2 linked regions of the Lonchura striata genome follow. The protein of the gene in region 1 purifies or fractionates together with the protein of each later gene. This does not show direct contact. Links are inferred from orthologs where the notes say so. Each region holds a gene or a part of one and is shown in the gene's direction. Other genes may lie near its edges.

Region 1 (7,686 bases):
CAATTTGGGGAGCAGTGCTGCTGATAAAAAGCAGCTTGATGTGTTGTAACACAAAATCCATGTATTCTGGCTTGTGAAAGAGCTGTAGTCCTGTGTTTCTCCAGGATCTGGAATGTTTCTGCAGCAGCCTCTGCTGTATTTTCTCATGATTTTAAAAAATCAACTCAGTGGATCTTTCCCCCTCACTGATATCTTTGATGGACTGTAAATTGCCTGTCTTCTCTGCTTGCAGCTTCTTTCTTCTTACTGGTAGCATCCCTTCCAACTCATATATTTGCTTCCTCAAATTCAGAACCTTTTTGCATGTATGAGTTGAGTTCTTATCTGTGGAATGCTGAGAGAGGAAACTCCTGCACGTAGCAGCTCAGACCACATGAGCTCATGTCAGTTCACAATCTCAGGGGCTCTCTTTAAAGTATTTTTAGTTGCAAGAAACTTAAGTTTTAAGTCTCTCCCCCAGATTCTCCCTAGATCAGGATTTTCTGTAGTCAGATGACATGGGATGGAAATCCTCTAGGCAGAAACATTTGTCCTCATTGCTTTATTTGCATTGCAGCTGGAGATTGCAGGAGGCTATAAAATTATATCCAACATGGCATGGCAGTTATTCAGTGCATCACTGCTGCACTGCTGAGCTGTTTGTGACAATCTTGGAATGCAATGGTGGTTAAAACATGCTAATTGAATCTTCTGTGTTTTTTTCTTTTTGTGTGTTGTTTTTGTTTGTTGTTTTTACAGTTTACCCACACTATTTCTACCGGTGATATGCAGCATTTTGAACATTTGGAACCCTTAACCTGTTAATAAATACTTGTTAAATGGACACTTTGAGATATTTTATTACAGAGTTTTTAATTAGCAAATGAATTCATGAGTACTATAGAGAAAATATTTTAGAATCTAAATGTTTCTTATATTTATGTGACTTGTCATTTATATAGTTACTTACTTTTTCTGTTTCTATTCGGTCTACAAATCAAATCATTGCTGATTTATTTAATTCTAATTTTAGTCTTTCCAACTGAATGTACTGTAATGCTTGTATGTATATGTCCCTATGAGCAATATAGGGTTTTTGTAAATTATGCAGTAACTGTAATTATCATTGTTTTTTAATAATGAAACTGAAGGTGAAAAGGATTTTAATACATTTGTAAAAGTACCATGACACCAAGCAGTATATATTTTGTCTTTTGGAGCTCTTAGCTTAGATCTGAAAACAAGTCCAGCTTTTTTTCAGGTGAGCCTTTGTTGACGTAGGACGAACGGTACACGAGTGTTGTTCTTCTCAGAGCTGTACCTTTCCACACAGAGGATGTGTCAAGTAGTGGCAATTTGTCTTTAAATAAAGTAGAACTGGTTTGAAAAGCTGGGAGGAACTCCTAACCCTGCAGGACGTGTTGTAGGAGTGATTGCCTCAGTCCTAATACCCTTCTGCTGTGTTTGTGTAGCGACTCTTCGCAGTGACTGAAAACAAGCCATAAACCGAGGACTGGTTTTACTTTTGCTTTTCCTTCCCTGAGGAGGATTGACTTCATAATGATTCCTGGTCGTGAGCCACAGGCCACAGAGAGGTTTTTTTTTTTGTCCTAGACCTTTTTGCTTGAAAACACTTGGTGGAAAGATGCTGGTAGAACCAGTTTTAATGGACCAATCCTAAAGCACTGCAGCCTCCTGTCAAATGAGTACTGCAAGATGAAGGTACAATGGGCTGAAAACTAAAGCAGTGCATCTTCTAATAAAGGCCTTACTTTTCTTATGTAAGTCACCCTATGTGTTTTGTAAACTTGTTCTAAAGACTTGTCTGGACTTTAATTTGGATGGTTGTAGGCATTTTGGATTGTATGAGTAGAAAATGTATCTGACACTTGTAAATGGCATATTAAAAAGCCAGCAAGAATCTCTTCAGATGGTGCATTATTTATTATGCAACAATATATATAGCATGTCTTTTTTCTTTTGTTTTCCACATTTAATTTGCTTGTAAAACTGAAATTCATTGTTACTGTTCTGTTTTTCTATTAATCTTTTGTGTATTTTCAGATTATGTAACAATATGTACAGTCTACTTTTGAACTATTTTTATCACAGTATTATTTATTGCTTTCAATAAAGTACTGATGCATTTTCCACTGCCAATAAAACACTATGGAAAAGCTAAGATCTAATTGTATGCAGGCAGACACTTTTGCAGTGTGTGGATATTGTCAATAAAGCATCTTAATGACTGTTTGCTGCCCTGTAGATCTGGTTTCAAATGATGACCTTTCTCCAGTAGCAAAAATATTCTGTTAGATGTGACATTTTCTTTGGAATTGTTCAAGTTCACATGCATTAATATCAGTTTTCTGGAAAAAAAAATGCTTTATTGCCTACTTCTGCTCATCATTAGAGCTATGATTTGCTTTTTAAAATAATAAACCAGACCTGACACACAACTTCAGTGTATTCTGGTCCACATGGTGAAGATGGAAATGCTGTCCTAGACAGCAGCAACACTTGCTTTGGTAATAAAATGAAATCATGGCCATAGTGATATGTGGGGAGAAACATAGGAGTTGAGGGAACCAGTACAAAATAGGGTCACATAGGGCTGTTCATGTCAATTCTGATGTATTTGTAAACCATTTCATTGAGTTGCAGATTAATGAAAGGAGTAGTGAAGCCTATTTCATCATGTCCTCCAAATCAACAGCAGGATGTGAAATGCCTGGAGAAACACTGCCATGGAGGCTCTAAACTTTGTTCAGTGATGCATCTCTGTTTGTCTGGCTTGTCTGTACGAGTTGCTGTCTGTTCATTTGCAGTCTCTTTTATATTCTTAGAGAATCTATCTTTCTAGAAAAAAAACCTAAAATGGAACTGCAGAAGGAAATCCTAGCTCACTGCTCAGCTAAACTTTTCTGTTTAGAGAAATCTTGCCTAGGCGTTGCTGGTCACTGATGTGAGTGATAGTAGGTGTTCAAAGTCATGTATTGTTGCTTCTCAAAAGTGAAACCAATGCGGGATAGACTTGTAAAATGTGAACAGAAAATGCATTTATTATTTCAAGGCTGTAAAACCTTAACTGTTATGAAACAATGGAACTGATGTGAGAGGTAGAATAAATGAGTGAAATGGTGAAAGCTTTCACAAACTGGCAAAACTGTGTGTGCTGACTTCCTTCTGAGTTACACAGCAGAACTGTGCTGGAGAGATCCAGAAAAACGTGTCTTGCTCAATTTTACAAACTCCCACACACCCTGTTGAAAGAAAACTGTGCACGTGGAAAAGGCACCTGGGTCTGTTACAGTGATCTTTAGATAATGCTTGATTAAATACAATGTTTTGTAAATTGCCAAATGTCTTTAAAGGCTTCAGTTGGAAAGAGGGCTGTAAAAATTAAACTATGCATCCTGTCTGCATGCTTCAGAGTTATCTGAGTGAACTTTAAACTTGCAATTTTTGCATGTTTAAAGGACAGGGACTCTCAAAACAGATGTTTTAACTCTGTCTTTTAAACTGCTATAGCAGTGTCTTGTCTTGTGGACAGTAGTGATTTATTATGCAAAGATTTGAAGAACAGGTAAATTAGTTCAAAGCAGAATTTTTGGAGCTTGGTTGAGACGGAGGAGCAGCAAAATTAATTCTCAAGTAAATAACAATTGACACTATGTTTGGGAGTGGTACTTTTAAAAGAAACTAAAGAGTCACTTTGCCTTTGAAAGGAAATTTTTTCACTTCCCACTATCAGGGTTGCAGCTTTGGTGCACAAGGTATTGTACATTTTGTTAATTTTATTGTTTGTTAATGGTAAGGCCTTGGGAGGGAAAGGGAAATTGTAGTTAACTGAGGTGTCACTACCTTTTGGTTTTGTAGATGTTGGAATAGATGGGTGAAAAGTGATAGAGAAATGTGGTTGTTGCTTCTACCTGTAGTTGAAGAGAGAGGTGAAGACTCCAAAAAGACGCAGAAGAGACAGAAGTAATGCCTAAAGGACTGAGGTTCTCTGGACGCGTGTTCTTCAGCAGACAATGTTTTTAGAATAAATTCAGTCCTTTTCAAATATGCTGTATTCATTTTACGGGGTAAATTGCACTGCATGTAATCCAGGAAGAAGTAACTGACCTATTTATGACATGAACTGGCTACATTTGGAATTACGTTGTTCTTGTGTTCACCTCGATTTTTTATCATCTTGCCCTCTATTACAGCCTGAATTTGTGTGTTTATCGGTAATTTTTTTTTTTTTTTTCACTAGAAATATCCTTACTTGGGGTCTTTCCCTCCTTTAGAAGACGCAAACAGCAAACAAACCTGTACCTCATTCCACAGTGTTTTAAACCCCCAGTTTCCATTTTGCATCCGTTTCATTTGGATCGGATCCCAGCCACGGGGGAACCATTTGCCCACCGATAAAAAGCGATGGCAACCCCTGGGGACGGAGTAGATGCGATTTCCAAAACACGACGGTGCAAAAGTGAGCATTAGAAGACGAAGACGGATGCTCACAACTGCACCAGCAACTCCCCTGTGGCCATTTTACAACTACTGAGGCTGCATTTTTTGAGCGGCTGAAAGGAGCGGGGGACGGAGCCGCTCCAGACAAAAGTATTAACGATGCTTGGAGCGGCCCGCGGGGAAGCGGCGCTCCCGCAGCCGCCGGCGCGGCCCCTCCCGGCGGGGCGGAGCCGAGCCCGTCCCGCTCCCACCTGGAGCCGGGAAGAGGAAGTGGGAGCTCGGGAGAAGCGGAAATTGCAGCAGCAGCCGCCGCCAGCCCGGGAAGCACCGGCGGGGAGGCAGCAGCACAGTAAGCGCGGCGCGGCTGAAGGGAGGCCGGGCCGGGGGCTCCGCGCAGGGCAGAGCCGGGGGGCGTCGCGGCTCCGTGTCATTCCCTTTCTTTAAAAAAAGAAAAAAAAACATTATTTCAACTGCGAAGCTGGGAACTTGAGAGGAAGCGTGTGCGGCGGGGGCTCCCCACGGCGGTGGGGCAAAGCGCCCGCCCGCGGTGCCGGGCCCGGCCCGGCCAGCCCGGAGCCGCTCCCGGCTCCCCGCGGCCCCGGCCCGGCAGCGCGCTGCTGCCGAGGCTGCCGTGCTGCGCAGGATGATGCGTGTGCTGATTAGTCACAGCAGCGCGTACACTCCAGGCATATATTTAGCCTGGGTTTGGGTTCGAACCGTAGCGTTTGCTTCTTCCTTCAGGAATCATGGCCGCGTGAGCCAGTGAGTCATTAATAGATCGTGTTTCTCCTCGTTCTGCCCTGGGATCGGTGCTGGAATAGCAGGCGGAAACCAGGCTTATTCCTGCTCGCTGGGGCTGCTCTGCTTCTTGTGGAATGCACAGAGTGCGGGGTTGAGCTGTGGGAAGATGTTGGCGTTTGTGCGCGTGGTTTGCAGAGAGTCGCGGTGGACGCTGGACTTTGCACGGGACTGCGTGTGAAATCCTTCTTCCCTGGCTATTGTTTGTGAGAGCTTGAGGAAGAAACAGCGAAACCTAAAGTATCCAGCTTTTGTTCTTGTCCAAGCACAGCTGAATGAACAAAATACATAAATCAAGTGAGCACAAGAAACAATTACTCGGGGGATAAAAAGTTGTGTTTGGCACAAAGCATATAGAAATTCACCATACAGAGCACACGTGAGTCAGCTCTCCATTCCTAAACATCTTGCACAGCGTGATGGAGCAAGTAAAGATGGATACAAAACATCCCCCTTAGGAGAAGTTAGGAAGAGCTTGGACCCATGTTGAATTTCATTATTGAGCTGGTTGGGTTCTGCTTTTGGGTTTCCGAGGCTTTTGGGGTTTTTTTGGTGAGAGATTGGATTTTAGTAGGAAAGAGTAGGACAATCCGACACAATCATGTGAGATAAGGCTTTAGACAAAGTATTTCTAGGATGATGTTAAACCACCTGTGTTCTAAAGGTTTGGGTTAAAAACTCATTGTCTCAGAAGCTTTTTGGATATGAGGTACTATTATAAACGTTAGTTCCTTAGCTGCCAGGGGAATTTGGAGATGGGAGACCTGAAATAACATGAGGGGAAATGTGCTGATACTGTTAATATGTCACCTGTTCTGCTTTTGCACTCTCCTTCCAGGCTACTCCAGCATTTGCTACCCTGGTGTTTGACTGTCAGTTTTCCAGCTATTCTCAATCATGTTACCAGCCCTGAAATTTCTGAAATGTTCCAAAAAAGTGGCTCATCAGCTCATTCTGCTAGGCTGCAAAACGAGCCTGACAGAACGAACTGTGGACTTTACCCAGGGATTATTAGCTATGCATTTAAGAGGGAGTGAGTTTTCATCCCACCCACTGAATTATGCTTGTGTGAATTAAATAGCCGATTATAATTATCTTTGTAATCTGTTCCTAATTACAAGTATAAAGGTAAGTGGACAGAATGCTGGTATTTTAAAAAACTGAACTCTAGTTGAATAGCAAAGAAAAAATGAAATCTTTTCTCTGAAGTGTATTCTGAAAAAGCTGGGAGAACAGGCAGCATGCAGTTTGAGGTTTCAGTTTTGCTTTCTAGACTGCATTTGTTTTGATTTATGTTGAATAAAGGGTGTAAAATCCAGCCACTAGCACCAGGAAGATCAGGAATTCTGCTAACTAGCTGAACTGTTAATTAAAAATATCCAACTTGATACTCTGTGGGGCATAAAGTTTCCAGAAACTGAGAGGCCCCAAATCATTAACCTCTTTAAAGTGCTGGGTGTTGTTTCTAGAAGTCATCGTTTGCTTTTTTAATGAGTCTTGCTTCCTGCAGTCACCCTCTGTTTCTCCTGAAATCCAGACAAGGTGCTGAGTTTGTGAGCACCATGTCTCACTGGGGATACCTGAGGAGCACAGACACTCCTCTGTTGTTGTTGGAGCAGTGTCTGGACTGTGTGCAAATTCTTAGAGTTGTTGGGATTTCAGTCACCGTGCTGGAACTCCATGCACGGCAGAAGAGTTTGTGCAGGTGTAATGCAGGTGAAGAACAATGTTGTGCTCACCATTTTTAGTGCCTGGGGAAAAAAAATTACCTATTCCTACACCTTAGTTGTATGCACAGGATCCAGAATTAGCAGCAGTCTTTGGAAGTGCATGTTGGCTTGGTAACCTGTGTGAACAGAAGTCTTTGAGTGCAATGACTGCACAGGAGACACACACACATTAATTTGAGCAAAGAAAGGTGACTTTGTTCTCCTGAAACAGCAATCACTCCTAATCTTTTTACAGTGCAAATGGGAGAGTTAAACAGGTTTGTAAGCCAGCTTGAGAAGACAGCCTGAGCTCCAGAGGTCAACCTGTTTTCACTGCAAGCACAGCTCTTGGTGATGTGGTTAAATAACATACTTTATTAGGGATTTTGGATTGCATCTCCTGTGTCAGCTCCTGCACGAATCAAATGAGCTGGCAGGTGAGTGGAGTGTGACCCTGCTTCTCTTGCTGGTGTTGCAGATGTGGAAGGCTACTGCAGGCCACACCGTGTCTGTCAGCCAGGATGATGGAGCTGATGACTGGGAGACAGATCCAGACTTTGTGGTATGGCTTTTGGGGTATACTGATCCACCAGGAATTTGTTCTGGGATAATTCCAGAGGAGCTCTGTGGGGTGGGGGACGTGTCTTGGCCAAATAAACTGTCAAGAGTGTGTCCCTGGAGTGGAGGGGAAGTGAAGCTGCTTTTCCAACACTTGTGGTCCCAGTGACTGCTGGAAGCT
Region 2 (7,948 bases), on another chromosome or scaffold:
ATTAAAATTGAAATCAGCTGATTCTTGCATTCAACACAGTCACAGCAGCAGCACAAATTCTTGACACAGCTCATGCAGTTCATAAGTCACATTAGCAGATACTGTCCCATAAAAACCACAGAACTGCAATCAGCATGTTTGCTGGACCTGGATTTTGGTCTTCTTCATGTTCAACAATGTGACACAGGCACGAAGTATTCTTTTACTTGAAAGTTACCAGACTATTCAGTCCCGGTAACATAATTTCAAAGGTTTGTTTGCAAATGTCAAAGTCAACAGCCTTCTTTCTCAAGTAGAAATACTCTGCAGTTTACCATGCACGTTTCCTTCAAGCAAATTAGCACCAGTCACAATGTGTGATGTAGGCTTCAGTGTTTAAAATAGACTTTGCCTTTTCCTGTGAGTACACCATGCACTTGTGTGATCTTAAATGTGCAAACATGCTGCGGGTCAAAATACATAGTTGTTACATTTCATGCAAGGCTGTCAGCCGTCCGACCATCCTCTGAGAGGACACAGCTCCTGGAGGTGAAATGCCTCCTGACTAAACATTTCCTGCTGAAGTACAGAGTGATATTACTTGTCCTCACTTAAATGGGGTGGTTTTGCTTTGCAAAACAAAACTATCAGAGTTCCATTAACAAAAAAAAGTTTACTGAGTTTTAGCACGTGAGATATTCCAAAACCAAAAGCATAAATCATCCTGCTGAGATTCTTGTTGAAGTTTTTTTTATCCCCTAAGCCCAGCATCCAACTCATGTGAAAAGAGCTGATATTCAGAAATATTTGTGGATATTCTAGTATTATGGCCATAAATTTAAATAAGCCTTTCCCATTAATTTTGTTAGAAGTTATCTGAAAATAAGACTATAAAAATGTAGGAACAGCAATTTACCATATAGATGTTTTTTTTCAGGAAACCTCAAATCAGTTTTGAGGTATCAAATGCCATGGATGTCTGTTGTCAACAGATACGATGATCTCATAGAGTTAGGATCAGGAAGAGGATGGGAAGTACTCCTGACTGCTGTGTTTAGCTGAAATGGATGAATCTAACGTCAAACCACAAACATACTCAGGATAGCAGTATAGTAGAGAAACACAGCCTAAGGATATTTTCCTTATGCATTTTAGCACACTACTTCTGTTGCTATTTGCTGTTGAGCTGGTGACATTCTCCATGTTTGTGGAGATGCTAAGGAGCATAAAAACAACAACTAAGAAAAGCATGTGCATTTCAATGATTTGATGTTTTAATTAAACAGTACTGTCTGTCATACTATAAAATCAGCACTTTTATCCGCAGTAATAGCCAAGACGGAAACATTACAAGTCAAGAAATGAATGTAGTTGTAAACCAGTATTTGCAAAAAGGCATCATGTTCATACTTGAGAATCAAAACCCCTTGAATTTGACATGTGAGATCCTGCCATGACTACACCTGCACTAATCCTGTCACTGCACAGAACCGATGTGTGCAGTGATTTCCTTCTCCAGCTAAGAACTCACTTCCATGCCACACTGAGAGCTTGCAAATGGCCAGGAGGCAGCTCATCTGAGCACGCTTGACAACACACTGATGCACAGCCAGGGACTCGGGTCAAGCTTGTTTCCAAAAGCAGCAACCACACCTTGAGTTTGCATCTCTGAGTTTGCTTCCTACGCAGCAGGGAAGTGTGACCTCAGGCTGGTCCTGGGGCTGCTCTCTGCAGGCAGCATAATCACATCCCACGGGAGATTCACCACCAGCTTCAGCCTAGATGAGGTGTTGATATCCTGAAGAGCTGACTTTGCATGACTCAAGCTAGACAGCCACAAACACTGCAGGGCCACAATCTCATCTATCTGGCTCCTTATCTGTAGTGGAAAAATAATCTTGCTGTTCTCTACCACATTGCTGTATGGTTTCAATAGTTAATTGCATTGATGATGTGAAGAGCTGTGCAAGTGCCATGTAGCTTTTCACCTCTGGCACATACTGGCCATGCTGCAAAGTTCACAGTGATGACAACATCATCACCTGTTCACTCCTGCTCAGCTCCTGTAAGCGAACTGATGATTTCAATCTAAATATAAGCTGTCCAAAATACTATAAAATGAAGAATACTATCATTGCTTAACACCTGTGTTGGTAGTTCATCATTGCAATATTCCTTAGACTCTCCCTAAGCATGGCAACTATCACCAGTACTGCAGAATTTGCTGTAATTAACTCTTCTGTTTGCAATCACAATAAAAACCAGGGAATCAAGTGGATTTATAGACTGAGTCACTGGGTGGGATGGCAAGACAACACAACTTCCTTGGCTGCAGTGCATCAGCAGTAAGGAGTAAGTGATTTCCAGTGCTGCTTGCATGATCCTCACTGGCATTAGCTTGTCCAGGATGGACAAGATGTATTTCACTTCAGAATACCAAAAGGATTGAGATAAGCATAACTCATTGGCAAACCTTCCATGAGAAAAAGGCTGTGGCACAGCCTCACCCAGGATCTAGCACAGACTGACAGTGTTGTAGCAGCCACTGTGAAATATAACTTTCACACTCTGATGATTATTCTTTGACATTTGTGAAGTGAAACAGTAATTTCAGTTAGTGACAATTTAAAGAGAGGTGCATCTTACAAATTTAGAATTGAATCTCGGATACTGATTGCAATTCAAAACAGGAAACGTGGTTAAATCTGAAATTCACTGAATGCTATTTGAAATACTTACATAATTTGACTAGTTTAAATATTAGCACATTTTTACAGGCAGCTAGTATATTTTTATTAACATCACATTAATTAACTGATCTTGTTTCCAGTGAATTTAAATGAAAATAATCCAAGTCTAAAGAGGTCATACCTATAGGGCTATTTTCTTTACTAACATTTGAATAGGGGAAGGGGAAATGCTGCTTTTAAGCAGCAAAACAGAGCACTGTATCTCTCTGGCAGAGTAAACAATTTCAGAACTGTCAAAAACAGACCAAAAGGCAACTATTATCTTCCTTTTTCATTTTTAGGCCTTGTGCCATTCTCTTTATTTACCAGTATTCTTCTGTATTCATTCTTTTTCTTAAGACATTTAATATGTCTTTCCAGAAGACAATTTTTTTCCCTGATGAAGAAACACAAAAGCTCAGTTGCGCTTACTCTGCTCTGCCTTCAGTTCTGTCACTCTTCACTGCCACAGTTTCCCTGGCCTGTCTACTACCTTTCTTAGTTGAATATGCTCTTCCACTCTGTAGTATAAATTTTCACGAAATAGTATGAAAGAAATTATGTCTTTAGCAATATGTTCAGCTTCTGGGGTGATTTGTTTGGGAAAACAGATGAGGTTATTTTACAATCCAGAGATTAATGGTCAAGCTCAATAACTACAGTCTGAAGAACAACAATTCAACCCTAACAGTGAGAGTACCAAATTAATTAAACCAGTTTGTCCACCAGTGTGATAGATTTATCCTCACTTGAAATCTGCCAGCGAGGGATCAGGGATCTTCCTAATGTGAAAACTGTGGCTGACCTTCGGGCCACTAGGAACAGCTGAGTGACAGCCCATGATTGCTGTTCAGCAGGAATTACAGGGGATGACCACAGAGACCCTGCTTGGCCCTCAGGCCATATCCTTCACCCATCCAGTTTCCAAGCAGACTAGGCCAAAACAGTTCTTTTGGCTGTTACCAGCAGCTCTTCCCTGGCCCAACCCCTCAGCCAGTTCTTTACTCTCCTTTCCATACTGCTTTTGATGCCACCAGCCATTTTTATCTTCTTGGTCTCTCTTCCTTCTCCACTGCTCTTATGAACACAATCATCAACTGATTTTCTTCCTACCTCTCCGGCTGCTTCTTCAGCGCTTCATTTTTTTTTGCCGAAATCCATTTCTCACTGTAACTCCCACACAGTTCTTTTCTTGGCTTCCTCCTCCTCTTGCCTACTCTACCTTTCAGAGTCTCATGACGTTTAACAATCATCTGTACAAGCTCAGAGCCTTTGTGCCAGAAAGCTGGATCACGTGAAGCAGCAGCAGCAGCAGCAATCACATGGCCGTATGGAGGGCTTCTACTAAGGCAATGAAATCACCGAAACATGTTCAGGCAGGACCACTGCTCAGGAGTGCTGGTCATATTTTTGCTAATAGAACTGCACAGAAATAATTTTTTATGGGTATACTCAAATCAGGTATCTCCTTTTTATCCTTACTCAGGCATTGCAGTTTTTAGTTGATACTGTAAACTATTTTTGAGCTGCACAGGCATTTTATTAGAATTATATATGAAACCATGTACAAGCCTAACCACATTGTAATGTGGTAGGTGCTTATACAGTGAGCATAAAATGCTTTGAAATGGATACAGCTGTATAATAGTGCTCATTCTAAATTGTTCAGATTTGAGAATATTTACCGAATGGCCCAGTTTCTGTGTAGAGAATCCCAAATATAAGGAGGAAATCACACAGTATGGCTAAATAAATCACACTGATGCAGCAGATGACCACAATTACTTGAGCCTCCTGAGACTTAGCCTTCTTTAGTAATGAACATATGGGACCCCAAACCTAAGCTAAAAAAAAAAAAAAAAAAAAAAAAAAAAGTGTCTATCTGTCAGCTCCCTGAATTACACGATACAACAATGGCTAAAGGACATGTTAACTATTCAGAAAAGCTGGCTGTGAGCGGACACAGGGCTGTAACCCGCGGTTCAGGGCACCGCGCTGGGCTCTGCGACCCGGCCACGGCAGCACCGAGACAGCTCTGCTCCGGAAAGGCTCAGGCACAGAACTGTTTACTCAAAATCAGCAGTAGCAACTTCAAGGGCTTCTCTAAATCGTAGCAGGACGTCTTAAAAATTAACTAAGTCTAAGGAGCGTAAAAACCTATGCAGTCAAGACTGCCGACAGGGGTGGCTCCCTCAGCGGTGGCTGCAGGAATCCTCGGCTCTACATCACCGGCGGATGGGGCTCCGACCGGCTGTGAGGGACCTCGGGAAGGGTAAAAAAGAAGCAAGAGACCCCGCGACCCGCCCTGGGGGCTCCCCGGAGCGGGAGCGGACACGCAGCCTGAGGCGGGCAGGGTCTCTCCTCTCCGCGCCGCCAGAAGGCACGGGACGCTCATTCTCGCGCTTAGGGACAGCACTGCAGGCCAGCACCCGCCGACCTTGTCAGCTCCCACCAGAAAGCCTTTTTTAATGATAAGAAAACGAAAGAGCGGCAGCCTCCCCCCCTCAGCAACCGCGGGGCCGGGGGAGGGGAGCGCCGGCCGCGCCTGCGCGGAGCCGCTTCCTCGTTGTGGCGCGCAGCGGCGGCGGGCGGCGCGTGCCCGTCGGCGGTGCCCGTCAGCGCGGCCCCGCGGCCCCGCCGCGCCCGGCCCGGCCCCGCCTCCGCGCCCGGGGGGCGCAGCCCGAGCCCGCGCAAGTCAGTGCTCGGCGCGGGCGGGAGCAGCGGCCGGGCCGGGGGGCGTGGGGGGTCGGCGCGGGTGGGGAAAGGGGCTGAGCCCGGCGCGGTCGCCGCTCCCCTCCCGCCGCCCTCCCCGCAGCGCCGCGGCGGGGCCGAGCTGGGCTGCTCGGAGGCGGCCGCGGGAGCGCTCCCCACCGGCGGGGCCGAGCCAGGGGCGCCGTGCGGGGGCCTCACCCCCTTCACCTCCTGCCCGGAGGAGGAGGGGGCGGCCGGGGAGAGGCTGGATGTAGAGGGCGAAGCCTCAGCCTCCCTCTGCGTCTCCGGTGCTTTGATGCTGCGGGTCTCTGCTGGCTGTTAACATCTTCTTCCCTCTGCTTTTTTTTTTTTTTCGTTTTATTTTTTTCCCTCACCTCTCCCCTCGAAACTTGGCTTCTTCTCTCTCCGGATCTGTGTGCCCGGCTTCTCCTGGGCTTTACCGGTGGGGCAGGATCATGCCGGACCAGATCACCGTGTCGGAGTTCATCGCCGAGACCACAGAGGATTACAACTCCCCGACCACCTCCAGCTTCACCACCCGCTTGCAGAACTGCAGGAACACGGTCACGCTGCTGGAAGAGGTAAATCGTCCACACCCCACATCCTATCCCCTGTTTTTTATCGTTCCCCCCCCCCACACACACACCTTTTTTTTTTTCCTTTTTTTTTTTTCTTCTCCTTTTTATTTCTTTTTTTTTCTGTATGCCTTCGAGAGAGCATCAGGGACGGGGCAGCACCACCCGCCCAAATCCACAGGAGCCAGAGGCGTTGGTATGCATGTAATCTGGTCTTTTAATTGTGGGACTTTGCCCTTGTGTTGAGCTAGTTACAGAAAGCTTTTCTGCTCTGGCGTCTCAAAGATTAGTACGTAAAGTAGTTATCTGAACTTAAATGTTGCTGTGGTACTTCTTGGTATTTTCAGTGTTGTCAGTTGTTGCAGTAGAAGAAAATGCGTGAATGTTGGGGATTTTTAGAGGGAAGATGAAGGGTGAGTTTTGTTTGGGAGCGTTAGTAGAGGTTTTCCCCAGCTACTCGTTACATCCAGTACGCAGAACTCTGCAGAAATCTGCCAAGGAAGACTTGGTTTAAGCAATGAGGTAAGGATGAAGAGATGAATGTGGAGTGAGGGAAATAATATGAAAACAGAATTGGTGGAAGAAGAGGAGCAAAATAATGCAGCAGAAGAGATTTTATGGTCTCAGCACTTCAACCTTGAAGGCTCAGTGCTGGGTTTTTTTTTTTTCATGCTTGTTATGAGCATCATTTAAATGTTCACCCTGCTCTGCTGTCAAGAAATAGGAGCATGAAAATGGGTAAACTTCCAGAGCTGGTTTCCAAGGAATATCAGTCCACTGCTTCCTATTTGAGGTTTCAGAATGATTTCCAATGGACTAGGTTAGTGGATATGAGGAAATGTCTTCCAAATGACTTTAAAACAAGATAGTGTGCAGCTCTTCTCTTGCCCTGTGCTTGCTTGAAGGTACAAGCATAATGACGCTGAAAGAAGGGAGACTTTTGCTAATGTGGCAGGGTTGCAGTTAGTTGTTGTTTTGGATTATACACTTAGTTCATCAAGTATTTGTTGATTCTTCAGGAACTGGCACGTATCTAGGAGATGGATTTAATAGAGTTTTTTAATTCTGCTGAATGTGTTGGCATGAGCAAAACATTTGGTATGCAAGGAAAGAGTATTAATTATTTAATTATGGTATGTGCTTGATAGTCTTGGGTATGGAAATAGAACTCCACAGGAATCAGATCAGCTGAAGTTTTAATAGAAAAACTGTCTATGTTCAAAACGGTAACAGTGCAATTGTCTGTGGTAACTGACTAGAGTGATTGTAAGTTCACATTTAGAATTTTATATTTTGTTTTTATTGTGTAACCTAGATTAACATCTGTAACATTTTCATAACTGTAACTAGTTTGGGTTTTCTTTTCTCTTGTACCTAAGTCATGGCCACTGATAGATTTCTCAAAAATCAACCTGTTAGGTTAGTGTTTGACAGAATTGCTGCCCCCTGTTCTTAACTATGTGGAATAGGTGCAGCCATTGATATGCTTGTTAGTACACGTGACAGCATGCATAGAGTTAATAAAAATATGTGTTTTGTCATCACTGGTGACTTAACTTCTAGGGTAAGAATACAGTGTAATGCTTTCATGGTTTGGGAAATACATCAGTACAGGCTAAATGTGATAATGCCTGTCTGAAGAGAAACAAAATATAGAAGATAAATACACAGTGTTCTGCACTGTTTGTGTGGACTGTATTTTAGAAGTTTTAATGTCAGATTTTACAATAAATCAGGGGAATAAAGAATGGTGGGTACTTCTGTTGATTGTGTTTCTCTTTTTTGAATTTCTTTTGTTTGTGTAACTGTTTTATGTGCCCTATTTGAACTGATTGCAGTTTAAACTGGACTTGTTTTGCTTTTTTTTTTTTATTATCTGTAAATATAAAAAAGCTTTATTTGGTGAGAAACAAGATTTAAACAAGCTCTACTGTTTCACGTGCAAAAAATCTG

What was found.
Region 2: the proteins of CTTN (region 1) and ASAP1 purify together in Homo sapiens (affinity purification with western blotting; 6 studies listed by BioGRID and IntAct, with this or other methods). This does not show direct contact. The link is inferred for Lonchura striata from reciprocal best matches to the Homo sapiens genes CTTN and ASAP1.

Annotation. Positions count from the first base shown.
Region 1 is NC_134608.1:54,885,614-54,893,299, reverse strand, and holds the start of CTTN (src substrate cortactin), read left to right. Parts: upstream 1-4,663; 5' UTR 4,664-4,789; intron 4,790-7,425; coding exon 7,426-7,509; intron 7,510-7,686.
Region 2 is NC_134603.1:9,923,611-9,931,558, forward strand, and holds the start of ASAP1 (arf-GAP with SH3 domain, ANK repeat and PH domain-containing protein 1), read left to right. Parts: upstream 1-4,852; 5' UTR 4,853-4,867; coding exon 4,868-4,980; intron 4,981-5,334; exon of another isoform or gene 5,335-5,402; intron 5,403-5,871; coding exon 5,872-6,001; intron 6,002-6,098; exon of another isoform or gene 6,099-6,122; coding exon of another isoform or gene 6,123-6,191; intron 6,192-6,497; exon of another isoform or gene 6,498-6,517; intron 6,518-7,948. UniProt on the Homo sapiens protein: Possesses phosphatidylinositol 4,5-bisphosphate-dependent GTPase-activating protein activity for ARF1 (ADP ribosylation factor 1) and ARF5 and a lesser activity towards ARF6.